Diceros bicornis minor: one gene and its partner. Each later gene encodes a partner of the first gene's protein in a complex. Links are inferred from orthologs where the notes say so. Each region holds a gene or a part of one and is shown in the gene's direction. Other genes may lie near its edges.

What was found.
Region 2: IGF2BP1 (region 1) and ELAVL4 share a complex: the UniProt entries of both Homo sapiens proteins name them as parts of the TAU mRNP complex. The link is inferred for Diceros bicornis minor from reciprocal best matches to the Homo sapiens genes IGF2BP1 and ELAVL4.

What each region holds. Positions count from the first base shown.
Region 1 is NC_080757.1:37,068,133-37,083,642, reverse strand, and holds the start of IGF2BP1 (insulin-like growth factor 2 mRNA-binding protein 1), read left to right. Parts: upstream 1-8,584; 5' UTR 8,585-8,924; coding exon 8,925-9,099; intron 9,100-10,279; coding exon 10,280-10,340; intron 10,341-15,510. UniProt on the Homo sapiens protein: RNA-binding factor that recruits target transcripts to cytoplasmic protein-RNA complexes (mRNPs). This transcript 'caging' into mRNPs allows mRNA transport and transient storage.
Region 2 is NC_080752.1:12,616,362-12,632,726, forward strand, and holds the start of ELAVL4 (ELAV-like protein 4), read left to right. Parts: upstream 1-10,322; 5' UTR 10,323-10,518; coding exon 10,519-10,527; intron 10,528-16,365. UniProt on the Homo sapiens protein: RNA-binding protein that is involved in the post-transcriptional regulation of mRNAs. Plays a role in the regulation of mRNA stability, alternative splicing and translation.

The sequences.
Region 1 (15,510 bases):
TCAGTTTCTATTCTTTTTTTTTTAAATCAGCATTGTGAGTAAAATTTACCCATGGTGGTACACTTTGCTGAAGTTGATTCATTGTTTCTGCTCACTAGTATTCCATTGCGTGACTATACCTGGCTTTACTTACCCATTCTCCTGTCGATGGACATTTGTAGGTTTTCTAGGTTCTGTTATTATAAACAATGTTGCTGTGAATGTTCTTGTACATGTCTATGGGTATCCATGTGCAAGAGTTTCTGTAAGGTAATTTCTAGTCTTTTATGCACACGTAGTTTTTTTTTTTTTAAGATGGTTCCCATCATATAGATTACATGAGCACAAATACTCAATTTTGTGATGTGCATTTTTTGTAAACTTTCTCCAAGTTTTTCTAAACTCTTTTTGAACATAAGTTTTAATGGCTACATAATATTTTACCAAGTGCTTATGTTAAAAGTTATTTGAAGATTTCCCTATTTTTAAGCATTTATATTGCTAAGTTTTCTTTTCTTGACAGTGATAACACATCTTTGTTCATTAAGGGTTTTTTTTTTTGAGATTTTGAAAAAGCTAAATTTTTTTGTCTTTTTTAATCATGGTGAAATATACATAACAAAATTTATAATTTTAACCATTTTTAAGTGTAAAACTCAGTGGCATTGAGTACATTTTCACTGTTGTGCAACCATCACACTATCCATTTCCAGAACTTTCTCATCCTCCCAAGTTGAAACCCTATACCTGTTAAAACACTAACTCCTCACCCCACTCCCTCCTCCCAACCCCTGGTAACCACTATTCTACTTCCTGTCTCTATGAATTTAACTATTCTGGGTACCTCATATAAGTGGAATCATATATTTGTCCTTTAGTGTCTGACTTACTTTACTTAGCGTCATGTTTTTAAGGTTCATCTATGTTGTTGCAGGTGTCAGAATTTCATTCCTTTTCAGGGCTGAATAAAATGTTTTCTATACTGGCTTTTCGGTAGAAAAGTTACTCAAAAGTGCAATTCCTAAGTCAAACAGTATGAATTGTTAAAGGTTTTTGTTGCCTTAAAATTGTTCTCCCACACAGCCACATAGGATGTTTTATTTCACTATATTCTTGCTAGCAATGAGTATTAGAAATTAAAATTTGCTGTTTTCATGACCTGCTTAATTTTTGCTCTAATTTAGCCTGCCATACAAATTGGTTTGCCTTCTCCTTGAGTGTAGATAGCTAGGATATTCAATAAGCATCTGCTATGGGCGGGTGGCTGTACCAGACGTCCTGGTAATCACTGAGATGGAAAGCTGTTGTGGGGTGCCATTTTTGCTTTGGATGACACAAAATAACAAACCTTTACATGGTTAGTGGGGTGCTAGTTACATTCCCAGAAGGAAGAGCCTTAGAGAGCTCTTGGCAGGTTATCTGGACTGTCCCTAGAGATTCTCATCCTGGCTATGTGGCATCATGGAGATCAGGATGGAAAAGGGATGTGCCAACTAACTTTGATGGTTGCCACTGACTGCCTGAAGCTCCAAATTGAGCAGAATTCGGAGGCTATTTGACCAGGAACAAAGGAAAGAGGATGCTCATCAGTGGATGTTGGGCGCAAGACTAGGGAACAACAAGCCCAGAGATACCTCTTGGTTGCTATTGTTGTTGTAGACCTATCAGCCTTTTGAATGACTTCATTTACTTGTATTTCATCTGATGATTGTGAAGTACTGTATTTACAAAAAAAGAAAGAAGGAAAGAAGGAAAGAAAGGAGGAAGGAAGGAAGGAAGAAAGGAAGGAAAAGAAAGAAAGAAATAAAAGGGAGAGAGGGAGGGAGGGAAGAGGAAGGAAGGAAGGAAAGAAAGAAAAAAAACATTTACAGGCTGAACACAGCATTTTTAACCATGTCTTCTCCCCAGACAGTATCAAAAGATACTTATTAAATATATATTTTTGGACACCTGTCAGCACTGTCTTGGACTCCCTGGGTGATACATAAGTTTTTGCCCTGACGGATTTGATACATAAAATGCTAACAAAATTAGTTATAAGCAACATAAGACACAGAAAAATGATACAAAGAAGTAATAGTGTCCAGTGACGATTCAGACAAGAAATGCTGGGAGTATAGGAGTGGAGGAGCTCTGGGGTCTGAATCACCCTGGGGTTCTCCTCAAAAATGTAACAAGTTTCTCATTTTGGTGTATAAAATAATTCAAGCATCTCTGTATCCTTCCACTTCACCAGAAATAACCGTTTGAATGATTACAAGTTAGTGATGGGGGAGAGGAAGAAGGAAAAGGGAAGGAGTGAAGAAAAGGATAGAAAGTTTGGGTAGGCATATTGATTAAAAAGAGGGAAGAAATGGGTTGAGGGGCAGAGGAGCTGGAGAATAATAACAGGGGGAAGAGAAGTAACAAAGAAAAAAGAGAAACAGAAGAGCGTTAAGGTAAAGGGGGAGGAGGAAAGGAATTGACAGTGTCGGGAGTAGGAAGAAAAATGGAGGAACAAAAGGAGGGGGGAGAGAAAGGGGAGGGGTGGGGGGAGGGGCAGGGAGGAAGAGGAAGATAGGGAAAGAGACCATAAACCTCATTTCAAAGCAATTTAGAAATAACTCTAATATTTGTTTCCTACACATTTTATAAACACATTTTAGAAATGCAAAGAAAATCACGAAAATTTATTCAATAATTTATCATATAACTGCTGACCAAATACTTTTAGGTTATGTTTAAGAACGGAAGTTAAGTTGTGTTAATAATAAGGCTTAAAAATTTGAGAGCGTTTATGGGAGAGGTAGGTGGACCAAAACTCTTCGTAGATTATTAACCCATAAAAATCAGAAAGCACTTTTAGAATTGTATCTCAGTTTAGTCAAACAACCAGTTTTTTAAAAAAATACTATTAGGCTGGGTCCCTTTTCTTTGTAAAACTGGTTTGTTTTACAAAGACAGATTGAAGTGTTTTTAATGAGTAGTCTGGTGATGAAATATTAGTGAAATAGTATATGTATTAATTTTTTAAACTTAAACATAAAAAACCATAGTAGCATCTCCTCTTAACTCTGAAATATTTGAGACAGCTACTCAAAAAAAAAAAAAAAAATCCTGACTAGAAACAGGAGTAAAATCAATTAATCTTATCATCAGGAGTAAAATTTTAAACAAGCAACCAAAAATAATTTGCATTCCAGATAGAAAAGTTCTTTTAGTCTTAAAAAGCGTAGATGTTATGTAGCTAAAATCAAATTAACTCCACACAGTTTGATGTTGTAACTGATTCATTTTGAATTAAAATCATTTAAATACTTAGAAGATACATATATTTCAAGCACAAAATTGTCTTATCACTATGTCCACCTTAAATAATATTTAGTTATGGATTCCCTCTCTTTTGTTGCTTTTTATAATTTGTTTTATTTTGAAAAATAACATTTATTTCTTTATCTTTTCTTGAATTGTACAATTTCCCCCCAAATGAACCAGTGATCTATTTTGCATTTTGTGAAAATAGGCACTAGACAAAGTTGTTCATTATCTTTTAACCAAATGATTTTGGAGTGGAAAAGAAAGCAAAAGGCAGTTCTAGTGTAGTGTGAAGAATGTTATTGACCATTTCTTTTACATGTGTCAATAGAGGCTAGTGTGGTGTAGTTTAATTTACTAACACATCGAAGTTGGAAACATCCATTTTTTAAAAGTTAATAAAATAAACGATTCCCTTCCTTATCTAAAAGTTTCTGCATTGTAAACCTGAGCCAAAACAAAAAGTTGAGTAGTTTCATCACACACACACTGTTTGACCCCTAGAAAAACAAATGATTGTTCTTAAAGTTGCTTTTTTCTCCTTGAGTCTCTTCTATCTCTGAAATAAACACATTTCTTTTTAATGTTTTAAACACTGAAGACTTTTAAAGAAGAATCTGGAGGAGGAAAATTTTTCTTTTCTGCTTACCATTCTTTTACATTTTATGAGTTATCTCAAACACATAATTAATTATCCTTATTTATTTGACAGGAGAAAATGCTGCATGTGCTTTTAAATTGGGACTCATTTACACTTTTTCAAAGTTTATGGGCATTTAGAAGAACCACACTAAGACTTCAAGTTGCAGGAAGAAACAAAATATCCCCAGGCAATAACAATGAAATAACAAGCAAACAACAGCAACAAAACAAATCAAAACAAAGCAAACAAAAAACAAATTCCTCCAAAAACTTTGAAATCAAAGCAGCCATTTGTCATGAAATGTGAATTTTTCTTCTTCTCTATTTTATAGAAACCATAATTTTATTTCAAAATTGATTATGGGTCATTAGAAAATAAAAAAAGGGACAAATTCTATTTTAATGCCTTTCTCTCCTGCTTTCCATTTTTTTGTGACTTCTCTTTTGTAAAACATGCTAAACTTTTAAAATAGAAAGTCATTGATAAATGTTAAATTTAAAATGCAATATATATTCTGGGGATATATTCAAATGAGCTAATCTAAAAGAGGAAAAAGTTACATGCCCCAGAAACATCTATTCAGCACCACTTACAAAAGTAAAAGAATTTGATGTAACTTACATATCTAAAAATAATGATTAATGATTAAGATTAACTTACATCTACTGGACTAAATGGTACGTGTTGACTAAAAATGATAATTATGAAAACTTTGAGGCAGCATGGGAAAATGCTTATGGTACAACACAAGTGAAAAATTAAGATATAAAAATAAGGTGACAAAATATAAAACTATTCCAAATGAACAAATACTGGAAGAAATATTTAAAAATAAAATTAATTTTATATGACAATGGTGGAATTGTTGATTTTTTCACTTTATATCTCCAACTTTTTAAAGTGTTGTTTTATTCTCTTAATTTTTTTTTCCTCTCTGCATGTATTTGCAGGTTCACATTGAAGGAAAATGGATCTGAATCCCATCTTTAAAATGGAGTCAAGTTTCAGTGTTTCTGAATTCAGAGAACTGAATTCTAGAACTAGACCAAATACTTCTTCAGGAAAAATGAAGAAGGAGGAAGAGAAGACCAAGAAGTATAACAACATCAACAATAATAAAATTATTATTATTAAATAAATTATTAAAGAAAATAATTTATCCTGCAGCTATATTTTTAACTCTCACAACTAAATATAATTCTGCATTGAAGATTAATCTTTCCCCGAAAAGCTGTGTGGAAAAAAACCTGAAAACAAATACCATGTTTATTAGTAGTCTTTAATATAAAAAAAAAAAAGAAAAGAATGATGATAAATTATGGCATCCCAACTTGGCCCATGCTTGTCCCTCACCTAGGAATGTGAGTCTTGACAAGAAAGAACCCTTCTCTCAGGTTAATTTTAGTGCTGAGCTCACTCAGAGGGGAGAGATGAAGCACCAGTCAACAGGATTCAGTCCCCCCAACCCCAGCCTAAAATAGCCAGGTCACTGAGGCAAAACTGATTTGGGGGCTAAAAGAGTCTGCATCTCACCCCAGCTGTCTCCAAGCTCTTGTGTTCTTGCAGCCTCTGACTACACACAGAAGCCCTTGGTGGGGTGTGTGTGTGTGTGTGTGTGGGGATTAGAATTCAGTGAAACAGCTGATTTTTAAAAAGAACAAATCAGTTACGATTTAGCAATAGTTGGTAAATTTTTAATTTAATACATTTATATTTTCTCCTCTACTGTCATTTAAAAACATTTAAACTGACTCATTTCAGCTAATATCTAGACTTCTATTATATTTTTTAAGTGGAAAAAAATCAACCTAAAAGTGAACTGAATTCAATTATTATTTTTAAATTTTTTGTTTCCCTTTGAATCTAGGATAAGAAAAGGTGGGCTGCACTTTACAGGCATTTAGAGGTCTGTGTTGAGGTTTTTGTGGGGTGTAACTTGCTTTTGTTTTAGGAATAAAGAGATAGAGTAGTGGATATGTTCCCCAGGCAGAAAAGCTGAGAGGTGCTTCTATTAATTCCTAAAGATTTAAACTAAATAAGGAAACAGCTCTTAAAGTTTCTGGGAACTGAAAAGTCCTGCCTAGTACCCACTTCTTTGTCCCCCAATCGAACAGACGAGATTTAAGGAGATTGGGGCTCCTCTTTACGAAAAGGCCAAAGAACACAACAGCCTTTCTGAGACCATCTTTTAGCCCTTTCAAAAGTCCACACACATCACCAAGAAAAGTCCCCGGGAAACAGACCTACACATTCTGGCCAAGATAATTTTTTTTTCTTCTGAACTCTTAATTTTCCTGTGCATTTTCTTTGCTCTGCAGTTTGTATTAGCTTGTTTTTCATTTAAAAAAATGTTTATTGAATGCCTACTATGTGGTGGGCACCGTTTCCAGCTCGTTGGTTTGTTTTAAAATTGTTTATGGTCAAGAGTTGACTAAATATTAACAGTCAGAAACAGTGGGAGGGTGGGAGGAGGTGTGGGGGCTGGGGTACAGATGTCGCCCACCCCAACATTCTTTTTCTACTCAGCAACTAATAGCTTATAGTATTTTAATTTCTGTCGCCCTATGGAAAGAAAAAAATCACAAAAACAAAAATCCGACAAACACGTGGCTGGCTAGAACAAAACGCGGATTTGGAGGGTGGGTTTTGAAGGTGGTGGAGATGGAGAAACCGAGTTGGAAGCCTTCCCCCGCCCCCACGCTCAAGCCCCGTTTCTTTTCAGCGCGCGGGGACAACCGGGAGGGGGACAAAGGTGCGGCGTGCTGTCTTTTAACTCCCGACTTTTTGAACGGAATGAAATCGTCTGGCAGAAGAGTGGTGCGCCCAAGTCGGAGTCAGCTCACTGACTCTGCACACAAAATAATAACAAGAAAAAAACCCAAGGCATTCATATCGGTGCAGCCAACACGTGTTGCGGAGTCGGCCCGGGCCGCAGGCGACTGAGACAATGGGGTCGGGGACCGGGAAAGGGAGAGTGACCCCCTTCCTCACCTGCCCTCGCAGCACGCGTGTCCCCGAACGAATGATTTCTCCCTCCTGCAGAACCCGGAGCAAACCCCGAGCTTCCGCCCAGTTCAGGGAGACTCTGGCATTACTGGAGGTCCACCTCCCTCTTTCCCCGGTTCCCTGGCCAAGGGGGCTCCAGGGGCCCCGGGCCGCGCTCTCTGCCACCCCTTGGTGCCGTCCCAGCCCCCGCCGCTAGAAACTCGTTGGCCTCGCTCGCCACTCGGGCCGGGGTCCCGGTTGCGCGTGGACCGCGCGTCCCGCTCTCCGCCGTGTATCCGGGACTCCGAAACGCGCCGCCAACTGCCCCCTCCCCCACCGCAGAGACGGGGGTGCGACCGCCCACGTGTCGCCCCTTGCCCAGTCGGGTCCGTCCCTCGGGCTCCGGGGGCCGGAGGATCCGGAACGAGTTGGTCAAAGGCGAGGGAAGGGACCAGGGCGGATCCGCTTCCCCCTCCCCAGCAACGGGGAGGGGGGAGGGGCCGCCGCCCCCTCCTCCAAGCTCCCGCCCCTCGCTTCCCCGAGCGCCGAGCGGAAATTACCCCCTCCCTCCGCGGGTCTGACCTGGGGACGTGGGCGGGGCCTCGCGCTCAGCCCCCTGCCCGCTGCCCCTCTCCCGCCTTCCCGCCGGGATCCAAATCCTGCACCCCAAACAAAGTTCCCGGACCCGAACCCAGTGCTGGGAAAGCGGCTGTCGCTGTCCGGATTGGAGCGGGCGGAGGGGACTCCACCTGTCTGCCCCCGCGTCCGGGAGGGAGAAGGGACCGTGCGGATCTCCACCCGGTCACTCCCTCCCCGAGACCTCCCCCTTCGGTTCGCCCGGGTCTGCTCGCGCTACCCCTCCTCTCCTTCTCTCCACCCCGCCCTCTCTCCCGGGGTCATCTTGGGCCGGAGCCGTGCGTTCCCCCAGGACCCCGAGACGTTGTCGTTCAACAGCCGAACCCCGGCTGTGAGCCACCCTTTCTCCGGTGGGAATCCCGAAACATGATTTCCTGTGGATTCCTCGTTCCCAATCGCGACCCCCCGTGTCCCCAGCTTCCCGGTCCCGCGCTCGCAGGGCCCCTCGGTCCTGGATTCCCGGAGGCGAGGGAGTCTCCTAGGGCTGGGGCCGGGCAGGCCCAGAGCCCCCACTTAAAAATCTAGGGAAAAACCGCCTTTCTTTTTAAATCACCGGCTCGCGGGACCCCCTCCTGAAGACCCCAGAGTCCTCGGCTTCTCTTTGTCTCTCTCGGCCGTCCCCCGCCTGTCAGTCGCTAGCACTTAATCGGGGTAGGGTGGGCAAACTCCCCCACCCCCGGAGCACACGAATAAAAAAATCACCGTACATTTTACCCATAAAGAGGTGGGAGATTCTGGGCCCGACAACCCTCCCCCAGCTAGGGCCGGGGTAGGGGGATGGGTGGGGGGGGTGGGGCGCCTCCCTAGGGACCATATTCTTGCAAAAGGGGAGGGGACAAGTAAAGCTTCGGGAACGCAGCCCCCCCTCCCCACCCCGCCCAGTTTATCCGGGGGCGAGTGTCCCCCCTAGGCGGGAGATTGGTGGGCTGGGCCTGGCTGGAGGGTCGATGGGCCCTGAGGCGTCGGGGGTCTTCCCCTGCAGGGTGGGTGGGGGCTTTCACCACGTGGCTTCGCCTTTTTTTTTTTTTTCCGCTCCATTTTTTTTCAAGTCGATTTTATTTAGAGGCGGCGCCAGGGCGGCCACGGAGAAACGTGACACACCAGCCCGCTCGGAGGAGTTTCGGACAGAAGAGAAGGAGCAGCGCCGCGTCGTCCGCCTCCCAGCGCGCCGCGGGCACTTCTCCCGGGCCTCGCCGAACTCTCCCGCGACCTCTGCGCGCCCTCGGGCCGCCCTCCCCGCCGGGCTCCGGACAACTTCAGGGGTGGGGTGCAAAGAAAGTTTGCGGCTGCTGCCGCCGGCCTCCCGCCTCTCGGCCTAGGAGGCTCGCCGCCCGCACCCGCTCGCTCGGCCTTGCCAGGGACCGCGTCCTGCCCAGAGCCCGCCACCATGAACAAGCTTTACATCGGCAACCTCAACGAGAGCGTGACCCCCGCGGACTTGGAGAAAGTGTTTGCGGAGCATAAGATCTCCTACAGCGGCCAGTTCTTGGTCAAATCCGGCTATGCCTTCGTGGACTGCCCCGACGAGCACTGGGCGATGAAGGCCATCGAAACTTTCTCGGGTAAGGGCACACCCACCTCCCGGAGAAAACCACAACGAAATCCCTGAACAACGGAGACCTGCGCCGCCTCTTTCCGTGCCCGCCACCTCCTCTCTCCCCGCGGCCTGCGGGGCTCGGCCTCGGTACCCACCCTCCACCCAGCTCCTTCGACGCCCCCTCCACCCCCCACTCCCCTCTCGCGCGGAAATATTCGAGATTTCCTCACCCCTTCCTCCCAACCCGAGACGAGCAGCTGGAGCCTTTAGTAAGGTGGCCCCCTTACCCCCCACCGACGGGGCGGGAGCCCCCACTGGCAGTGGGGGGTCGCCAGCAAGGCGACCCCGTCAGGGCGTTATTTCCACGTCAGCCCCTCCCTATCCGCGGCTGGAGGCCCCTCCCGCCCCCAGCGTGAACACCCCCAGCTCCCCTTCCTCCGCCTTAGGCCTTTCCAGGCGGGGCAGGGGTCCCCGCTCAGTTTCCGATCTCCCGGCTTTGCGTGGGGACTGCAGCCTTCAAGCAGGACCCGCGGGGAAAGGGGTCCCGCCTCCCGCCCAGGGCCTGGGGCTTGAGCCATTTTGATTTGAAAGTGGGGCGTGAGCGGGGTGGCGCGGCCGCGGCGGCGCCGGGTCGCCATGCTGCTTCCCGAGACGCCGAGGCTGGGCCGAGAGGCGCGCGCCGCCGCCACCGCCGGGGACCCTCCCTGCGGGGCCCCGCTTCGCTCCCCCAGGGCCTCTGCTCCCGACCAGTCCCGACAGGTGACCGTCCCGCCGCCCAAAGCCCTTCTCCCTGGCTGGACCGAAAAATAAAGTTTCATTCTGCACCCCCCTCCCCCCTGCAACACACTTTGGGAGAAACGAGAGCCCTTTCTCTCTCGGCCCCGTCTTCCCACATCTGGGAGCCGGATAGGCAGCCCGCGCACACAGACGCCCGCGCACCTCTCCCAGATCGGGCTCCCAGAACGACCTACTACTCAGCCAGCCTCGATGAGATAATAGAACAAAACAAAAATTAAGAAAACACAATGAATTTATAGATTCCACCATTACCAGAGCGACCTTTTCCCACCCGGCTGCGAAACTCACTGCCTGATTCCTACAAATCCAAGTAACTCCTGAATTACCCTAATGCCTTTCTCTTTCCTTTTTCCGCCCCCCAGCCCTGTTCAAGCTCTCATATTGTCTCTCCTTTTTTTAATCCTTAGGCAAAGTGGAACTCCAAGGAAAACGCCTAGAGATTGAACACTCGGTCCCCAAAAAACAAAGGTAGGAAAGAGCTCTTTTCTGGGGAGGGGGGCAGCCTGGGGGAGCCGAGAAGCTGTGTTCAGGGGTCCATAGTGTCTCCAGTGGAAGAAACCCATTACTGGCCTTCCCACCCCCAACTCCGGATGTTGGGGGCAGGGAGGGAAGATTGGCTAAGATCTTGTAATGAGTGGTTTACAGCTTGTAAAAAACGTAAGCTGGGGCTAGGGTGGGCTAAGAGATGTTATTTGGAGAAATAAAAGGGAAAAAATAGGGGAGAAACCTTGAGGAGTTTGGTCAAGGGGTGTGGGGCCATTTTTGTGGGGAAGCTAAAAAGATTTGAAGAGCTCAGACTCATGGACATTTCTGCAACTTCCTAGCAGGCCTCATTTTCTCTATTTTTTCCCACCCTTCACTCACCATAATTCTTAAGTGGATTGGTGGGGGTCTCCTTTCACTCCCCAGGGGAAGTGGAATGAGTTCTGCCCCTAAAAGAATTTTCTTAGACTTGTGCTTTATTTATATTTCTGCAACAGGCATGGACATTACTTTTTTACAGACCCCTACCCCTAGTCCCTCACATGCACATCCTCCCCTCCCAACTGGATTTTGCAAATATGCTTTGGCTGTACTATCCTTTCCGAGGCCCCCCCCCCCCCACTCCTTCAGTCCATTGTTACAGGGGGACCATCTGGGGTGAGAGCTTTGTGTTCAGGCTGTGAGCTGGGGCTCTTTGGAGGGTCTAGAACTCCCTGCATGAATGGGTGTGTGTGTGAGAGAGACAGACAGAGACAGAGACAGAGAAAGAGTGTGTTCCAATACCTTTCTATCCTCACTTCAGCAAACTGGGGTACCTCTATCATGTTATCCCCAAATCCAATTCATGGTGGATTTCAAATCTTTCATTGAACTCTGGCTGGGAAGTATAAGGGCCGAGTCTTTCTGCTTTCTCAAATCTGACTTTAAACATGTTGACAGTGCAGAGTTTTCTCTCATGTTGCAAACCCCAGTAAATCTTTGATCCTTTCACTCCCCCCTCCTCTCATTTCAACTGGAAACTTGCTGAATTTCAGAATAGGACCTGGCCTTTTCAGGGTGGGAAGGTGGAGGTGGGTGGCTATGCATTTTTGGAGGTGGCTAAGGGTCTAGAAAGTTTACTGTGAGGTAAAAATCTGTTCAGTGGTTTAGCTTGAGATATTGAAGTAACTTGGAACTATTGTATCTATAGATGATCAATATGGCTTGTAACTATGTTTATAGAGCTTGTGATTTAACCTCAAGTGCTTGAAGTACTCTGTTATTGGAAAGGCAAGTAGAGTTAGGAGGAAAGAGGCAATAAAATCGGAAGGAAGAAAAAAAGTCTTATTTATTATTCTGAAACATTTCCTGGAGATGGGAATGAGAGAAAAACATACACTGACACCAGTAGAGTTATTGAAAAGATTGTGCATATTTGAACTGAAAGCTGAATTTTTGAAACATGTTGATGAGAAATATCCAGAATAACTGGAATTCTGGAATTCCAGTTCCAGATGTGTGGAAGTTTTCCTTTTGCTCTTCAGAATGGTTTAAATTTTAAAGGGAATGAAGTGAAAAGCAGGAGAAATAGCAAACTTAGGAAATGGAACCCAAAACATTTATATTTTAATTTTCATGGTGCTCTGTATTTATGGATCTTTTCCCCTAAGCTAGCTGCTTGATTTCAAGCCATTTTTAGGCTCCTTGTTCCCTCCAAAATGCATTACTGAGGGCTCTTTGGAGTTGGGAAAGGGTGGGGTTTGTGAGAAGAGTGAGTACAAAATCTTCCTTTCCACACCCATATTATATTAAATTCGATCTTTTGTGTGTCCTCCCCCTTCCTGAAATAATTTGAGCACAAACACTGAGTCAGTTGTGTTTTACTTTTTGGGGGTGGTGGTGAGAAGGCACTTCATTTTTCTAGAATGAATCCATTTTTGAAGTTTTGGGATTTAAAAAAAGAAAGTTTGTTTTCGTGAAGTCAGTTTGCTCTATCATTTTGTGTTCTTTGAGGAAGTGTGTTGTGGTATGTGTTTTTAGTCTGTCTGAAAAGTCTTCATTTGGTTTGTATACTGGCTTTTTCAATCTCATGTATAGAACAGGAACTATTTAATTGACTATGACTAATATATTAAGCAAAACGGACAACTGTGCATATATATTTTATGTATATATACTCTCGTGTTTTCACTGTTTAAAATAGAGAACTCTTCTTGATGCACTCAGTTCCAAATGAATTATGACTGTAAACATTTCTAAGAGATTCTTAAAAACTTGAATGTTCCTGTTTTTTTTTTTCTTGCTTTTTAGAGGGGAGAATCAAACAAGATAATATTACTGCAGTTAACCTCTGAGCACCTCTGATTTTGAAGTATTAATATATTTTGTTCTAACTTTGTATCTATTTGATAAATATAATTTGTACCTTTTTAAGAATCCAAGAGACTGAACACTATACATTTAAACTGAAAACATGTCAATTTGAATTTTTTAAATGGGTGACATTAAATTTCTCTGAGATCTTCCTAAACCCCCTGTTAGTCAGTGTTGGAATTTTGGTCAACAATTCAGCTTTTTGTTAAGAATTTGTATATATTAACTGTCAAATACTAGGACAAAGGAGAAAAACCAAAAGCATTTTTAAGATAGTTGTGGAAAGGGTTTGTATGTGTATTTTATTTTGAGAGACTTAAGACTAGTTAAGATAAAGGGATACCATCTTAGTGAGACTTGTTTATTTTGGGAAATGACTTGCTTTTAAGGGAATTAAACTTTTGTTTCATTTGCCACTGTGTATGCCTTTTTCTAGAGGAATGTGACCTAATGATAGCATACCTGCTGTCAACTGGTGTCATCAAAATAAAAAGTGTTGCTGTTAAGAAAAAAATGAAAGAGATGTGTACTTCATTTCTCTTGGTGAAATGTATTCATGTTAAAGACTGATTTCCTTGGGCAGGTTAATGGTGGTTCTTTTCCCTAAGTTGACTTAAAATGAGGTGGGCCAGCCCTTTGCCTTATAGTTCCAGCTATTAAAAAAACAATTGGTCTGATAGCCATATGTGTGAGAACTCTCAGAAGAGAAAGTGTGCAAACTTCATTCTGATTGTGTGAGAACTCTCAGAAGAGAAAGTGTGCAAACTTTATTCTGATTTTACAGTTTAATTTTCTAAAGTTAGCAGCTTTAAAAATCTCTGAAGGGATGTCTTGTAAATGGCAAAAATAATATTTTTAATTTTAAGTGATTTGCGGAGGCTCTGAAGAAATAATTGGATCACTGAATGTCTTCAAAACAAGCAAGAAAATTTTGCCTTCAAAAATGGGTTTGCCTTTAATGAAAATTATTCTTAGGGGCTGAAAATGAATTATAAGGGGGAGTTAAGAAACAAAGGAATGTCTTAAAAAAAAAAAACAAAGGAGTAAATAGTACTAGAGGGGGAGGATTTTCAGGCACTTTTGTTTTACTGGTTGTAGGTAAAAGATATATCTGACCTGTATTCAAAAAGGTTTTCTTATTCCTATTAGGTTAGTTTTTTGGGCTTTAAATAAGTTTAAAAAATGGTCGATTCTTACATTTTTCTACTGTTTAGAGGAAAGGTGGAAATGAATTCACTCTCCCCACTTTAATTTCTACCTAGAAAGTAAACTTTACAAATTCATAAATTTTCTTCACTGCTAGAGAAATCCTTAACTTGTTATCATTTAGTGCTCAGTATTTCAAAATGACTTTCCTAAGGACACTGGTATTTGACTATCCTTTGGAAGAGTTGAAGGTGTCCAGAAACCTTTATTTTCTGACCCAAAGTAGAAAGATGAATTTTTACTCCATGGGTTTCCCAGATGGAGAACTTTTGAGTAAAGAAGGGGAAGAATTGTAATTCCCATCACTAATTTATTCAAAGTGTAGTTAACTGTTCCAAATGTAAAGTTTTAATGGTGCAGCTTTTGGTGGAAAAAGAGCAAAACATTCTTTCTTATAATTATGTTTTAGAGATGAAATACATGACATTAGCCATTGGAAGAATCTTGATTCAAAGGTTCTGTGCTTCTAATCTTTTAAAATTACCTTAATATATGTCATTTGAATCTGTTTTATGTGTTTGGGTAGTTTAAGGCTTAAATTTTTGAGTTTATTTACTCTATACTTTAATGTGTAACAGCCACTTGACAGAGGTACCATTGAGATAGGCTAGTGGGTATATGATTTTAAAACATTAAAAACACACCAAAAAAACCCACAAAAAAACAAAAAACAGAAAAACAAACAACAAAAAATATATAAAACATTAAAAAAAATTCAGATCTGGTTTAGTTGAGTGGAAAGAGGGAGACCAGCAAGTGCTGTTTGTTGAAGTTTAGGGATTTTTGTGTTGAAGAGCTATGTACTGGTTGTACCTGTGTTGATTTTTGTGTGTAGGGGGTGGTCATGGTGGTGATATTGTCATTAGGATAAATGTATCAACCGAAGACATTTGAAGAACACAGACATTTTGCCAGCTGTTATAATTTAAATTCAGTCTTGTTCGCTCCCCATTCTCTTAAAAGATTTTTAAAATATGGCTAATGCCTTCCAGAAAGTGCAGCTTAGATTTTGGGATGGGAGTGTTAGGGAGAGAAAAGGGGAGGAAAAAAACAGCAGGGGAGACTGGAGAAATCAGACGAGTTCGTCCTGGGTTGGAAATTCCAGACGGGGGAAAAAAAGAGAGAGAGAGAGATGGGGGTTGGGGTGGATTTCCCGCCTCGCTTTTAAAGAGGAGCAGCGGCTGGAGGCGCACAGCGACCCATGGGATAGGGGGTCGCAGACAGCAGGTTTGGTAGATTCGGCGACGGGCGAGGCTATTTTTGCTTTCGGAGTTGCTTGCCTTCCCTTCCTCTTTTCAAAAAGCAGAGAAAGTCGCGGCCGCGCTGGAGGCGCTTCCTGGAGAGCCCGCGCCGGCCCCGCTGCCCTAACCCTTCCCCGCCCGCCGCAGCCCCAGCCCTGCCTCGCAATCTCTGCCCGCTCTGCGCTGGGGCCCCCGCCTTCCTCCTTTGAACAAGCCCCTGCCAGGGAACATCTGCAGGCCTGGGTCTCCGAAGAGCTTCCTTCCCCAGGGTCCCCGAGACCTCAGGCTCCGGCGCGCCAGCGAACAGCCTCCGCCTTAGTCTTTGGAGCCCCCAGATCCCAAACCTCGCCCACGTG
Region 2 (16,365 bases), on another chromosome or scaffold:
TAGCTATCCATGTCTTGGAACTGGCACACATAGATTGTGTGGTCTTACTTGATAAATCTTTAACAATGAAGAAGCCCATTGAAATTACTGTTCTGAGCCCTGTGCATTTTGTTTCCTTGTACCCCAAGGTACCTATGTGCTAAGAGACAATAAAGAACAAATTTCAAGCAAGAGTTATATTATTTGAGTTGTGAAACCGTTAAGATGACAAAAAAGAGTTTCAAAATTCTTGAACAAGATGGAGTTTTAATAATATGCATAACATATAACATGTACATTTTACATTCCTAGGGTTTTTGAAGGCTAGCAAAACCTTTTGCAAGCATTCTCATTTCACTGACAACGTAAAACCAATCAAATGTCATGATTATTTGATTATCCTATGATCCATTTTATGGATAATGAAGTGAGCAGGTAGGTATCAAATAATAAAATCAGTAAGTACCAGTTTGGGGCAAAGTTGGAATTCTTTTTTATATTTTTCTTTGAACTGTCCACAGAACCTTAGGTTACATGTAATATAGTTTGTAAAACCCTAATGTAGGTTTTAAAAACTGTGATTTTAGTTCTTCGCTCTTCTCAATAAGGGAGCAAACTGAAGAGTGAGGTCAATATCAATAACCCTTTTAAAAGAACTTAAGTGTAATTTCCATAGTAACCTAGGATTAATGGTGACTTGATAAAATAAAAGTTATGTATTTGTGAATAATTTCAGAGCAGGCCCAGGGCTTGTCCAGGGACCGAAATTTCATGGGAGCCCAGCATCATTATGGTTACTACATAATATCATAAAGGAAGATTAGCATGAAATAGGTATTTGTAGCCTGCAAGGCTTTGGGGGTTGTAATGTTAAAACTTCTATGCAAAAACCTTACATTAAAAAAAATACTCCTCTTCGTTAAGGATGTGATCCTTTTCAAGGAGGTATTTTGAACTTGAAGCTGCCGTTGCTAAGGGGTTGCTAAGGGAAACGGGCTACTCAGCACTAATGTGTAACTTTACTCTTCTGCTTAAAAGTAGTTAAATCATTCCCCCAGCTTCAGAGTCAGAGAGGGGAAGGACTAAAAAGGGTCAAGTGGAGAGTCGCCTCTTTCTGACAGTTATATAGCATGCCTCTCTTGTTTTTCAAGTTTTTCTTCACCTCCCGTGGAGAAAGGAAGCAATCTTCCTGGGCATAAGAAGGTTGAAAAGGTAGACTAGGCTACTGAGCAGGGCAGGGCTCATAATGAATGTAGACTGTCCGTAGCTAAGGCAGAAGGAAGTGCCTGACCACTGAGAGAAATGCTTCTGCTGATGACCAACCTCGAGAAAGGGCTTTCTATAATAACCCAGCATTAAGGGTGACTTGATAAAGAAAGATACATATTAATGAATAAAGTACCAAATAATTATGCCCTAAGCATTTTGTTCAAAAGTTTTTCTAAAATATTTGGAATCAATGATTTATGTTCTTTTATTGAGTGCCCATGATGTTCCAGGTACTGATATTCTACGTGCTGGGGTTATAAGGCAAATAACATACAATTTCTACCCTGCAAGCTCACAGTACTGTGTGAAAGTAACAAAGAACTATAATTCATTGAATACAATCTGTAATAGAATTGTTTGAAAATTGTTGAAGTTTAGAATTATGCCCACAGTTGAGTTTTTTGTAAATAAAATTTGGAAAATATTTGGGAAAATTAATGTCTTAGGGCTTTAGTGGATGATTCCATCTGAAGATCAGGCACTCTTTCTTCCACTTCTGGAGATGGAGGAGGGAATAGCACACACACAAAATTTTAGCAGGCAAAAATGTGACCCTTGTAAGTCTCGTAGGACCAGGATTCTATCATCCCTTGGTGGCAGAATACTGAAATTGCAGGCATAGCTTAGTTGTTTTTTGTTTTGTTTTGTTTTGTTTTTTAATTGTTATTGTTTTAAATGTCAGCAGATGTCAAAGACATTTCTCTGAATGTTGGTTTCTCCGAGAGAATGAGACTTAAATTTCTTTAGATCTATGCTTTTCTATATAAGGTAGTATTTATGGTGAAAAGAGTGTGGACTAAGGTTGGACATATATAAGTTTGAAACCTAAATTTACCTCTTACTAGCTGCGGGATCTTCAGAAAATCACTTAAATTCTCTAATCTCTAGTTTCCATATTGGAAATCTCAGAGTTGTGAGGTTAAATGAGATTTGTAGGCAAAGTACCTAGTGCAATGTCTGACACATAGTGGATGCTCAATAAATATTAATTCCTGTTCCTTTTATAAAAGTACTTACTGAATAAGAGGTCTGCTCTCCTATAGTCATCATATCATAGCATTCCTCCATTTTAACTTTAAAAAAATGAAAGAGGTTGGGATAGATTCAAAGGAGACCTCAGAGGAGTCTAGTTAGGATGAGCTGGCTACCAATATCCCCTTCCTGCCCTCCTCCCCGAACTTTATTCTTATATGAAATATCCTGCATTTTCCTAGATGAATCCTATCATTCTTTAAGCCTAGCCTCAGTTCCAGCTTCTCCCATGAAGCTTTCCCCCATCACTCCAGATGGCATCCTCACCATCCACTATCCTTTAGTATTTTATTTTGATGCTGTTATTTTAACATTCTTCCTTTCACACCAAGATTGATGCATAAAAGGAAAGCTCTTTTCCCAACCAGATTGTAAGCTCCTTGAAGGTGGGTATTATGACTTGTATTTCTTTTTATTCTTCACACTAAGAATTTAGCACTGAACTTTGTCCACAGGACTAAGTAAATGTTTTTCTGCAGCCAGCATTTTTCATTAGAACTGGAACAGACCATTCAGGCTTCCTTAGTTATTATTGTCTTATTATCCTCCAGTTGTTTTGAGAATGTTTGAATTGTATCTTGTTCAACAAGATTGAATTAGTACCTAGCTATAAGATAATTCATACAATTTTCTCCTATTCTCCATATTAATAATAATAGCTACCATTTAGAGTGCTGCCTCCACCAAGGCTAAATCTGTTTTAATCCTGGCAACAAACCTTAAGGGAAGTATTATTGTGCCCACTTTACAGATGGGAAAACTGAGGCTTATGGAGCCTAGCATATTATTTTCCCCTAATAGAAGGTGTTCAGTGACCCCTACCTGAGTCAAATGAAATAATCCCTGGGATAGTATTTGAGGTTATGATGAGTGGACCTCTTGGTCTTCATTCCTTCCCCATAACTGAGTGCTGCCTGGAGCCAGGCTCTGTGCTGTAAGGGGCTGAAGACGTAGAAGTTCATCTAACCAGTGTTTGCTGAGCAGTGACTCTGTTAGGCATTTTGCCAGGTTTGGAAGAGGAAGTAGGCAGTGGGGCTGGGGACTCAATCGGGTACTCATCCTGCCTTGTAAGATTTTTTGCTTTGCAGCTTTAATCCTTTGTATCTCTCTTACTACACATTTACAGCCTGGTCATGATGATAGATTAAATGAGATACGTTTTGAGGACATGCCTAGTTAGAAGCACATCACAAAGAAATCTCTTGGTCATTTTTAGCTGAGAAAAAATTGAGCATGCCTTCTCTCCTCCCTTTGCTTTCTCTTCTAGTCTGTGCCCATCTTCCTCATTCATTCAACAAATATTTACCAAGCATATTCTTCTATGAAGTGCTAGAGGGAATATCTTACTTTTAGATGAGGAAAACACCTTTCTAGAAGACTGCATAGATATAACAAGTGTCACTGCTGTGATGTTGTGTGAGATTGTGCACGTCAGGTGCCTAGTGCAGTGTTGGGTATGCAGTAGACTCCTGGTAAAAGATGGCAGTTTTTATTTGCACTTTTTAAGTCCTATTATTTCTTTATTTCTTCTCCTCTTCCCTCTCCTCCCCTCCCCTTTTCCTCCTCCTCCTCCTCCTCCTTCTACAAATTACCTTCCTTGCCTTTTACGATACATCTATTTCTTTATTTGTAGTTACAGAATTGTAAATGAGTCCAGAAAAACCCGCTATTGAATTATTTTCAAAACTGTATTAATCTGGTTAAACACTGTATCCTTTGATGGTTTGAGTAGCTACTCCCTACTTACCTGCTCAGTGGGCTTTGATTTGTAAAGATTTATATTTATACTAGGGTTTTTCGTTTGTTTCTTTGTGTTTTATTTTTAGTAAAGCTCATCTGAACTGAAATGAAAAGGCCTCAAATCCCTTAATGCAGGGATCTTCAGAAATCTCTGTGTGTTTGCACGTTAACTCTGCTGAGTTTTCTTGGGCTATAAGGAAGAATAGATCAGCGGAAATGCCAGACAGGGACTTCACCTAAATTAGAGTTCTTGGATAAGTGTATATTTACCTTTTTCAAAATTTTGTAAGTAAGGTGGTTTTCCTGTCTCTTAAATTTTCTTTCCTGGAAAGACACCCTAGTGCTTTAAGAGTGCGGTCAAAGGCACATTTGAAAAAGCGTACATTGATTCTGGAAAGAAACCTTCTGCTTTCAGCTGCTGTTATAGCGTAAGGCTTAGGAGTATGGAAAGAAAACAGGAAGATCAAGTGTGAATTGAGCCTTAGGTTAGTTTACCTGCACAGGTGAATTCTTGGCAATTTAAGTGGACTAGACGTCCATTTGTCACATTTCCCCATATAATAGTGTTCTTCTAGCTATTTCCCACAATCCATAGTAAACAAAACTACTTAGGAAAGAGAAAGGCATCACACGTTCAGGTCATATATCTCTAAGAAAACATCAACAGTGAATTCCTGATGCTTCTGGTAGACTCCGTGTCACTCTGGTACATCTTTCTTGCCTCTGTGGTAAGTTTGCATTTTCCTATAAAATTTGATTTGGTGTTTCTACAGGAAAAAGAAAAAAGACAAAACCAACACCACAATTCATCAAAGGAAAATTAGGCTTTAAATTTTATCAAAAGCCCTTAAATATAGTATACCATTGTCTAGGCACACTGATTGTATTTTCCCTGGAGGAAGAAATGCCAGCAGTTTAGGTTTATTTTTCAAGGGAAGAGGGGGAGGATAAAAAGAAATTGAACCACAGGAAAATGTCAGGTCATAGTCACTGATGACGCTATTTAAATGGTGTGCCATAATCATATTAGGGCAGAGCACATGGAATTCCCGATTTCTGCATGGCAGTGAAGAAGGGCCAGCAATTATCTCCGTGTGTGTGTGTGGATATGTGAGTGTCTGTTCGCTCTACCTTCCCACCCCATTTTGCTAATTCAATTGAGGGGCAAGAAGAGGTAATCCAGACACCCAGAACAGGAGGAAAAGATCTGCAGCTGTGTTTGGAGGGAGTGGTGTGAAGAGAGAGGCTCAGTCTGACTTGGAGTTTTGTGCTATTACACGTGAATGCTCTGGAACTGCCCTAATCGACTGAAAATGAGCCGGCTACAGTCATATGGAGCAGGTCTGTTTCGCCACATCACTGGGTAGCATGGCAGATGGTGGACCGTCAATGGGTGGTATTGATTGGCTGGATTTGCCTTAGGGTAACAAGACTATGGGTCCTTAAAAACCTGCTTCATCTTATTTTCCTTTGTGCAGCTACATACAGTTGTGGTTTTCTCTTCTCACTTTCCCAGCCCCCAATATCTCTTTTTTTCCCTTTTCAAATCAAAAGCCTTCCTTGGTAATCAAAATAGAGAGGTTACCTTGAGATAAACACTCTTTAAATTATCACCAAGGCAAGAAAACTCGAGAATATTTTATTTACTAGGCTGATTACATTTTAATGTTTGAAGAAAGTGACATTTTTAATTAATGTTTAAGACATATGGTGAGTGTACAAATTAGCTTATTTCATACAACCAGCATTTGATGAGAGCAACTCCTCCTTCTCACTCCCCAGTTAAAAATTCTCACTTGAAACTTAATATATGCGAGAAGGTTAAATAGTATTAAGTGATGCAGCCTTGACTTAAAGATGAAGGAGACAGTCACTGTTGTGTGTAGCTAAATGTTGCTTGGATGAGCTGGAAAAATACTAGTATTGACATCTGTGTTTGCAAGGGGATGTGGAAGTTCAGGGCTTTAATTTTATCCAGCCAAGAAAACAAAATCCCAGGTATCAGTGTGTGTTGGTTTCTCTTTTAGATACGAGGGAACGTAGAACGGTGCATGCACGCTCTGTAAGTAATAAAATCCTCCTTAAAATCAGGCCATAGCAGTATAAGTGATGAGATTTATTTGTCCAGGTGGGTTTTTATCCTTTTAACATCCCCCCTCCATCACTGGGGCTTTCAACTTGGGACATTCTATTTATTCCTGGCAGAGGAGCAGATTAATTGGAATAGAATTGTACAAAGGAGACACCAAGTTTTCTGTACATCCCAAATAGTATACGACAGAAATGTTCCACTTCAAGGCAGGTCTTGGCGAAAACGAACAGCACTGGGAGGGGAGAGCTGATTGGTTTGCTCTTGTGGTTGTTTATAACTGTTCGTGTAATTGTGTTTTTAAGAGATGTTTAAGATTTTTTTTCAGTGTCTTTACTTTTAAGCTTTTGCTTATTTCCTATCATGAAAGACCATATCAAATAAACCTAATGTTTTACTCAGAAGAAAAGTTGCATTCTTAAACTCTTGCCTCCATCTTGTATGTGCTTCGTCCATATGGATACTTTTGAATCGGGTTTTTATCACGTGAGTCAATATTTTTCTCTTTTTGCAGAAGGAAAATATTTCCATGGAGTTTTTTGTGTTCCCTCTTGCTCTGTGTTGATTGGATTTTCCTTGTTCATCCTTTGCTGAATGAAACAAAGCTTATTTGTGTTTCATTCTTCACAGTTCTTATTAGAATTGGTGATGGTGTTTTGTTTTGTTTCCTCTCTATAAGTCAAGAGAAGGAGTTTTATTTATTTATTTTCACAAGATACAGAGAGAGATACAAGACAAGATGCCTGTTAGGGTGCTGGCGTTTCTCATGTCACATCCTACACCCAAAAGCTATTCCAAGGGGGAAAAAACAGTCTTTTAAGATGGTTCATTTGAATCTGTGCTCTCTACCCACCTGGTGGTTATCTAGTGAACTGTTACTTTAAAGAGTAGTTTAAACACCAGCCATGTTTGGGGCAGGCTGCTCTTGCAAAGAGAGCAGTGCATATAACAGGAGTCTACTGTGTGTGAGATAAGGGGAAAATTCAGCTCACTGACTAGAGGTTTTAATGTGCGAACTCTAGGGAAATAATATATTGACTGTTGCGTGGCGCGCAAGAAAATTGAAGAACCCTTTGCAGACGGAGTGCTTTGCAAAGGATTCTATCTGTTTCTCTTAAAACAAAATCTGTGGCAAGATGTTTGAAATCAGCAAGACGCTTAATGCTGCTTTGTTAAATAATGAGGTAATATTTTGTCACTTTTTTCTGGGCAGCATCTGTTTCCCCCCCCCTTCATTTTTTTCCCTATGTTTATGAAGGATTCTTTTTTTTTTTTTCTTTCTTTCCTTTTTATTTTCCTCATGGAAGTCAAGGAAATACAATTCACGTTTCCATTTCTGTTCCTTCCTTTCAGTGCTTTTGGAGAATTTGGTTGTCTTTTTTATTTGCAGTTTCAGCTGGCTGCTGTTTCCTAGCCCATTGTGCCACGTAAGGCTTCTCCACTGCGCGGAGTAGGTAGTTATTAACGCTGAATTGGCTTCTGGTACAGTCCATCTGGACTCTGTGTGGGAAAGCTGGCTGCCGGCGACTGATGCTGAGATATCTGCAACCTTTGGGATGTGTGCATGGTGGCGAGGGGCTGACTGATATGAGATTACTTCTTTTAAGGGAAATTGTTATTAATGAGTCAAGAAACTGCTCATTTATGGTAAGAGGGATACAGCCGCTCTGGCAGCCCCACAGCTCTGGGATATCATTTTTAGGTTGCCTTAGCTGCTTGAGTGAGACAAGTTTCTTTCTGTGGTGGTGGAGGATTGTGCCGGAAAAAAAAAAATCATGCATGACTGGGAGACTCGCCTGCCTGATTCTTGAGATAATATGTTGAGAATCTGTTGCTTTACAAATGTCACACCACTGATATAGTGGTCAGCCCCTCACTCTGAAAGATGAATGGTACTATTGGAAATGCAATAATAAGGTTGACTTTTCCCAACAATAGGATTCTGCCTTTGTCTTTAGAGAAAAAGCCTCTGAGGATATTTGTGCATTTGTTTGAGGATTCTGTTGAAAGACTTTAGAGTGGAGGTTTTTGGAGAAGTGATCAATACACAAAGTGTATGGATTTTTTTAGCCTAGCAAAACCAGCTAATCATTCATACTGTGATATACAGTTACTATTTTGGAAAAGTGATGAGAATATCTTTTGATATACCTAATGTTAATTTGTGGCTCACTAAGTGTGCTGAGATTAATATGGGTGGGAGAAAGGGGTTTTAAGCCGGCTGTTTTTATTTGTGTGTTTGTCAGCACTGTGTTTATGTTTACTTTTCACAATATTTTGATATTGGTGAGATCGCACTCAGTTTCTCTTGTCTATTTGGGGCACCTGTACCTGCCCTGTGTATATCTGTTGAGCTCTTTACAACACTTAACCTGTGAATTCATCCTTAGTACACAGTTCAACAGATCCTATAGCACTATTGTGACTCGTAGGACTCTTTATACATTTTGCTAAAGAAATTATTTTAAAGTTTTCTTAATTTAGTATTGTTCCTCTTGAAGGGATTATAGTTTTAACATTTCTACTTTCCTATTTTATGTATTTTCATTTCCAATAGCTCAATTTATTTAAATTCCAGTTTAATAGTTTAGATAGTGTACCCAACACACATTGATTTGTGGTGTATCTGTATTTTTTAAAGTGTGTATATATGTATGTATTTGTATGTGTGTTCATGAACTAGTAGTTTAGAAAAAATAGTTTTATTTTTTAAAAATGTAAAGGTTATTTTCTTTTCTAATAATTTTTCACAGACCCATTTATTCTTGGACTTTGAAGCCCAGAGTGTAGCATGATTTCTGGCCTATATTTCTACTCTGCTCGGTCCCATCTTGCTGTCAACTTCAGCCAAAGATTAAAAATTATGTTGAATTACGTCTTCAGTAATATTTGTTAACCTCTGTATATTTATTGAGGAACAAATTGACTAAATTATGAATTAAATAGTGATAAGTTAACTTTTTGGGTAGAAGTAAAGCATAAACTCCTGAGGTAAACCACTTTAAAACTCAAACCAGAACAAAAAAAGTATCTTAACTGAAGGCTTGGTATCAGAGGTTATGAAATGTATCACATAGGCAGACAAACTGTATACATCACCACACACTTGCTAAATGTCTCCTTGCAAGTCTTTTAAGAGGCCAAAGGAAGAAAACATCCTTTGAAGGAGAGATGCAAAATCACGTGTTCAGTAAAACAAGATGGGCACTCTGCACCGGTTATGAAATGAGTCTGTTGTCAAAAGCATATTTTTACCTTTCTCTATAGCAATAGGGAAAGCAAAGAAAGAATGTGTTTTAGTGGATTTTTAAAAATTCAGATCATGCACCTATCCAAGTTGAGAAATAAATTCATTTAAATAAATCATTCATCATTCTCTGTTTTGAAAAGCTCAGACAGAAGGCAGAAAGGTAGAGGCTGACAGCTGCCCCCTCCTCCCCCAGCTTTTTTTCTTTTTTGTTTATTAGGAAATAGTTTTCTGAAGCAAACTTGTATGAACCTAGTTCAGGGAGCAAGCACAATCTCAAACTTGCTTTCGTTTGAAACCTGGTCATGTGAGCTGCAGAAGGAGCATTACTTGCTAAAAATCAGCAATATTGGGAAATAATAAAGTTAAAATGTAGATGTATTAGCACATTGAAGTGCTTTTGTTGTTATATCTTTAAGCCTAGAGGCAGATCAGTAAATATGCATTTCGCTAGAAAGCAACTGTCAAGAAAGATAAGATGATTGAAAATATTTTAGATGGGAAAAGCCCTCTGTCAGAGGGGTAGGGTGGTGCAGCCCTCAGGACAGGGGAAAGAGAGGACACTCCCACTGTTAAGGTTTGCAAGCCACCAGTGACTTGCAGTTGTTACAGTACTTTTGAGCTGGGAGGAGGGAAAAGGTAAAAATACAAGTATGGCTGTTGTTGCTTCAGCCTGGCCTTAATTACCAGACACAAGAAGCAGTTCAGAAATCTGGTCTCTGTTGTTGTAGAGGTCACCAAATCATTAACATCGTCAATCTGGCAGTAGCTAATTTAAATAGCACCTGATGTTGCAACGCCTCCCTTCTTTTCCCCAGCCAATCAGATCCTGGCTTCAGCTGACAGATGGTCCCATAAATGGATGTAAAAAGGGGAAGCTTCGAGCCAATTTCAGCAAGGCTCTGTTCAGTTGTTCTTATCTACATCCTAGAATCGGGAGTTTCGGCTCACTGCTCCTTTTCTTTTTTTTTTTTCTTTCTCTCCCCCTCATCTCCCCCCCACCCCCAAATAATTGATTTAATTTACAATCATCCACACTGTGTGTTGTGGATCTTTAAAAATATACAACAATAGTAGTCATTTAAAAAAATATATTCTGAAACCTTTGCAAATTTTAAGAGAAGAGTCGAAGCTCTGCGAGACCCAATATTTGCCAATAAGAATGGTTATGGTAGGTATGACTAGATTTATAATCTGTTGTTTGTGTTGCTGGAGGGAAGAAAAGCATCTACACTTTGACCAGTCTTATGCTTGCACAAGAGTTTAGTTCTCTGCTGCTGTTTGGTTCCTACCTTTACTATCTCTTTTGTGTAGAGAGTGCGGGTAGGTCCTTGTATTGAAAAGCAGTGGGGAAATAGATTGTCATTTTTAAGAGGTCATTGTCAATTTTCCCTTCAACGTAAAGGCAGTGGGGGGAGGTGGGTTAGGGGGAGTTGGGCTGAAATAATTGCTGGTTTGTTGAAAGAGGTTATATTACATGAGACCATAATGCCAAAAGAAGGGTTTTATTTTTGCAAGGGAGTGGGGGTTTGTCTACGTGCCTGGGTTTTGTGGGGCTCGAGGTGGATGCAGCAGGGTTAGGAATCTCTCCATTCCCGTGCTGGAAATTTAAACCTCGAGAAGCAGCTCCTGGATACTGAACGTTGAGATGGGCAGTTGTGTTTCGGGGGTGCGCAGTCAAAACGGCAAAGAGAGTGATTTATTTGGGCTTCAGTAAATGCTGCATCTTGTATTTCAAAGAGTTTCCTGTCATGACCTCATAAAAAAGAGGAGGCGGCTTGTATGTGTAGCGGTGCCTGGCGTGTTGAGTTGTTGCTTCCTTCTCTGGGCAGCAGCTCTGTAAGGAGGAATGTCAGCTTTTACATAACGTTCCTTTCCGCTTTTGACACACTGTGTGAGGGTCCATCTTCTGCTGATCACAGATGGAGTGGAATGGCTTGAAGATGGTAAGTGAAAAGAGGAAGGCAGCTTGGAGATTCCAGCTGAGTGTGTGTGTATGTGTGTGTGTAAGGATGGTGGACTGTGCATCATAAATCACTGTGCAGATCGTTTGTGTGTGTGTTTATTAGTATTTCTCTTTTCTGAAAACCAGAATCCACCTCCAAGTGTAATGGCACTGCATGCACACTAGGCACACACACTGCCTCTTCCATAGACACACATTTTAGCCAAGCAAGGTTGGTGTCTTTTTGACAATCACAATGTCACCGTCGCTGTCAGCTGGCGTGTCCACCGCCTCTGTGAGCCTTCAACAGAATTACACGACTGTTAAAGTTAAAGGCACATTTCATTTTCCGTCTCCTGCTAAGAGTGATGGGGAAGGCTGGGAATGAGGGGTGGAGGAGGTGAGGTTCAGTACCAGCAGATGTAATTGTGAAACAGGACTTTTGGATGTGGAAGGGGAAAACCTTTCTGCCAAAGTAGTAAATCTATTTTTAGCATCATCTCTTTCTGAAAAAAAAGAAGCAGGGAAACTCCTTGAGTGCCGCTCCTGTCGCCTGATGTTGACCCTGAAGATATGGCACAAAATGGCATGATCAGATGCCGCGAGTGCCCACTTTGACTTTGAATTTCACCAGCAATAGCTTTCATGGGGTTTCAAAGCTGGGTATGGGGGGAGGCTGGAATTTCATATCCATCTCACTTATTTTTCACTAGAAAAGCCCGGGGAGGACTTTTCGCTCCGCATAGATGTTATAACAAAGCTGTGGTCTTTTTCCCATTCTTAGAGGATTGCCTTTGTCTGGCTGCTTGTTTTGATGGGTGTAAAACAAATAAGATTAGACCGAGCAGCCCAACTGAAAGCGATAGCTGGGAGGAAAACCCAATGAAAGGTTGCCGGGGAAACGAACAGAGGAAAAGCCGAATAGGGAGCAGGTGGCTATCATGAGAACACACTGCAAACAGTGTAAAAAAAGCGGGGGGGGGGGGGGTACAGGACCTCGATTATCTTTGCTGTTCTTTGTGGCCGGCCCAACTTTAATTATTCTTTATAAATAGGTGTTAATTACATTTCTAACTCTGGTTTACAGTGATTTTTAGAAATCTATTTTTAAGCATCTGTTCTGTCTCCCCTGTTTTTTTTTTTTTTTTTTTTTTGGTTTTAAAAAACAGAGAGAGAGAAGGAGGGGGGAAGGGAGGGTAGGGAATCTTGCTTTTTTTTTTCCTTTCTCTCTCTCTCTTTCTCCCTTTTCCCTGCTGTGAAATTGTACGTGCGAAAAATCGCAAGGAATCCTGAGAGGCCATTTGAAAAAAATGTAAATTGTATTGAATGAAGTTGATGGAAGCATAATAGTGAACTCTCACAGCTGATAGGTTCTGCAAATGACTTCTTAGAAATTTCCAGCAAATATCCATAGGAGAAATATAGGTAGAATAGATTTACCCTAAGCAATGACTTTGTGCTAGGTAATATTGGTATTTTTACTAAATCAGATGTTGATACTACAGTTCCAGGGAGTTCATTGTAGCTCTCATTTTATATCTTGAGTAGAAATTACTTTTAAAAATAATCAATAAAAAGCTGTATTCTAGCCTTTTTCTTCGCTTCCCTCTCCATGCCTTCAGCCACAGGATCTATCAGGCTGCACCCTTGCGACCACCGCCTTCCATTTAGCATTTGGTGCTGGTTCTGGTCTTGGCATAAACTGAGTGAAAAGCTGAATTCTTTTTTTCGGTATCTCTGAACGTCTGGGACCCATGTGTGCGCTGGGTGACAGGCATCTCTCGCTTTTTCTCTAAGAGTGCTTTACTAGTCTCTTTTTCTCATGATGGTGGGTACCAGGAGGACTGAAAGGTGTAGTACTTAGGTGAATAGGAGGTAGCGTAAAAACCACTGAAACGATGATGTGTTACGATTTCTTCCTGAGAGACAAATTAGATACATGATCAAGTAGCTAATTTTAAGCCCCAAAATGAGAGAATAAAAAATACTGAAATATATTAAAAGGTTATAAAATATAATTGGCTTTATTGAAAATACTCTTAATTTTTACTTTTTCCATTGCAAATCTCCGCACCCCTCCCCCCATTCTTTTTTCCTTGCAGATTCTTCTTTTTGTTTTTTCTTCTCATTGGGGGATTTTAAAAATTTGTTTTGACTCTTGAGGTAAAAATAATTAAACTTTTATTTTTTGTCATACACTGGAACCTTGCTCTCATCTTGAGTGTGTAAACATATGTCGCTATTAAAAATAGAATAGTTTTTGGTTATCTCCACTATACTTTTTTCTGAGAATTTTATGGTATTTTTTAGTTAGGGGAAAATCATTTCCATAAGAACTGTCACCTTGTCTTGGGTTGTAAAAAAGACATGTGGTTCTACCGCTGACCTTTCTTGCTCCTTTGTCTTAAAAATATTAATGCCTACTACCTGCTTGTGGAGGTGTGCCTTTATGGAAGCAGAAGACTGAGTGTGCGTTTATTAAGAAATGAAAATCTGATTGGAAATATTTCTGCCTGACTATATCTCAGTTTTAATGACCAGACTGTCCATATATCTCATTGTAACATAATGGCTAAATCATTTAATATTTAAATTTTGAAAGGGTAAAATGAACATCAGTGGGGAAATAGCTGAAAAATTGCTTTGAGAATCATTGATTTACAAGACAATTTTAATATCCCATTTAAGAAAAAAAAAAAAAAAAAAAAAAAACCAGCAAGCAACTTAACCATTCATTTGTGATCTCAGTCCCATTCATTCCTAACTGCCATTCATTCAAGTCATCCTCCTGGCCGGATACAGATGAACTTGCTTCTGTTTGATAGTTTTCCAGAGCCTTGAAACTTTTTTCTCTTCCTATAGCCCTTCCTTGGTCCTTGGAATTTTCAAGGATTTTGTGATGAGATGAAGGTTCGATTGTCGTGAGGTAATAAAAATAGAATTTTTTTTTAAAGAAAGAGAAAGAAAATGAGCTACACGTTTGTATTTTAGTTCTAAACTCAGTCTTGAAACAGGGTTTGGGACATGTTAGACTCCGGATATTTTAGACTTAGCATTTCTACTGGGGATAATCTATTTGAAATTTCAAATCTGGAAATCATTGCATGAATGGTGCTTTGTGTGTGTGTCTGTGTTCAATATCTCTAAAAGAATTTGTAGGTGAATGAAGGTGTTTTTCTCCAGTAAGAGTTACCGCGAACAATGAAAGGGTTTCCTCAGGGCAAGTCTTTTTCTTTGGTTTGGTTTCTTTCCTTTGCACATATTTCCTTATTGGGGGTGGATTCTCTTCCTACATGTAGACCTAATACTGTTCCTTCTATGAGGAGATAATGCTACTTCAATTAGCCCTTGGCATCTTAATGCTTTATTATAATTAAAATAAAATCAAAACAAATTATCTGTGTGTGCCACGGGTAAGGAATGGTGGTCTTTATAGAGGTCATTGTACATGGACAGAAGTACTTTGGCCTTGATAAATTTCTTCATCAGTTCCAATGATTTGTGGCCACCAGGCATTTAATTTATATGCCTGGACACTTAATATGTACATCAGTTGGTGAGCTGGCCAGCGGATGCTAGACACATGAGTGTGTGCTGGCAAATGCTGCAATGCAGTATTTTTTCCCAGTGTCACTGGGAATTTTGGGGATGTGAAGGGGCATAAACATTTTCAAGTTTTTATCTTACTATTCCAGTTGATGGGCCATGTGGTACGGAATTGGCCAATTCCCCTTTTGAAAGTGAAGTCAACCTTTTATTGCCCACTATCCATTCTTCCATCCATTTGATAGATATGTGGAAAGTATGTGTATGTGAGAGAGGGAGACTCTGTGTGTGTGTGTGTGTGTGTGTGTGTGTGTGTGTGTGTGTGTATGTGCTTTTCGGTGTAAGCGTGTGTGTTTCTGGAATCCTGCACCTGTCTTAGGCTTTCCTTATTTGGTATTACCCAATGTGTATACATACTTGCAAGTATATGTGCATCTGAAAATGGAAAGAAAACCAAACTGGGCTGGCTTCCCATAAGAAGTGGCTTCTCCTTTTCACAAATTCCAAGAGTTCTCTTATTAGAAAAATACAAAACTTCATTAAAAAATAGATATATCCAGATTCTGCAGACTTCCGTTAGTAACCAAATACCTTTCCTTAGCTGCCACTAGAGAAACTATAAGTGTGCAATCCGTAACAATATTTGTGAGCTAGAAGCTGCCCTTTCAATCAAGGGGTTGGGTTCAAATTAAAATATATGCTTATGTGGAAGGAGAGTTGTTTTTTCTTTGGGAGCATTTGAAACTAATCTTTAACATTGGTAAAAACAAGGAGGAGGTAGGGTGGCCATGTTAGCATCTCATGCTTTGTTTTGTGAGCGTGTGTGTGTGTTGTGTGTTTTTGGAACATCCTTGTATTTTTAAAATCTCAGCGTATTTTAAGAGTAGAGGGCTTTTATAGGTCAGTGGCTTTCTAAGGGTAAAAAGAAAGGTGATCTGTGGGTGGGTGGGAGTTGTCACAAGCAGTAGTTGTCATAAATTACCCTTCTAGAAATGGAAAGAAAAAAAAAAAGACTGGAGTACAAGAGTGGAGAGGGATACCAACATGTGGATCTGCACCTTGCCGGTATAAGAGATAATGAGTGATAAATTTGCAGTGCGGGATGCCAAATAATTTCTGAGAACCTTGACTTTGCAAGTTCATTACTTCCTTGCTTGCTTGTTCACACCTTTAATTATATCCAGTTCGGGATGCTAGTTGGGGGCACCAAAGATGAGCCATTTTGTTTGTTGTTTACTTCATTAAGTATTCAAGCAGTGTGCTCACAATAGCTTGGGAGCATCAGTGTTAGGAATCAAGCACTTTGGAAATGGAATTGTTACAAAAGAACCAAAAAAATGAAAAAGCAATCAGCCAGCTAGCTTGCTTTGGATGCTGACATCCACCCTGCTTAGTGGTAATATTTATGCTGTTCCCTGTACATTCATTAAGAAATAACTTACGCAGTGTCACTGCTCCCAATAGACTGGCAGCTTTCTCTCTCTCTGTCTCTCTATCTCTATCTCTTTCTCTCTCTCC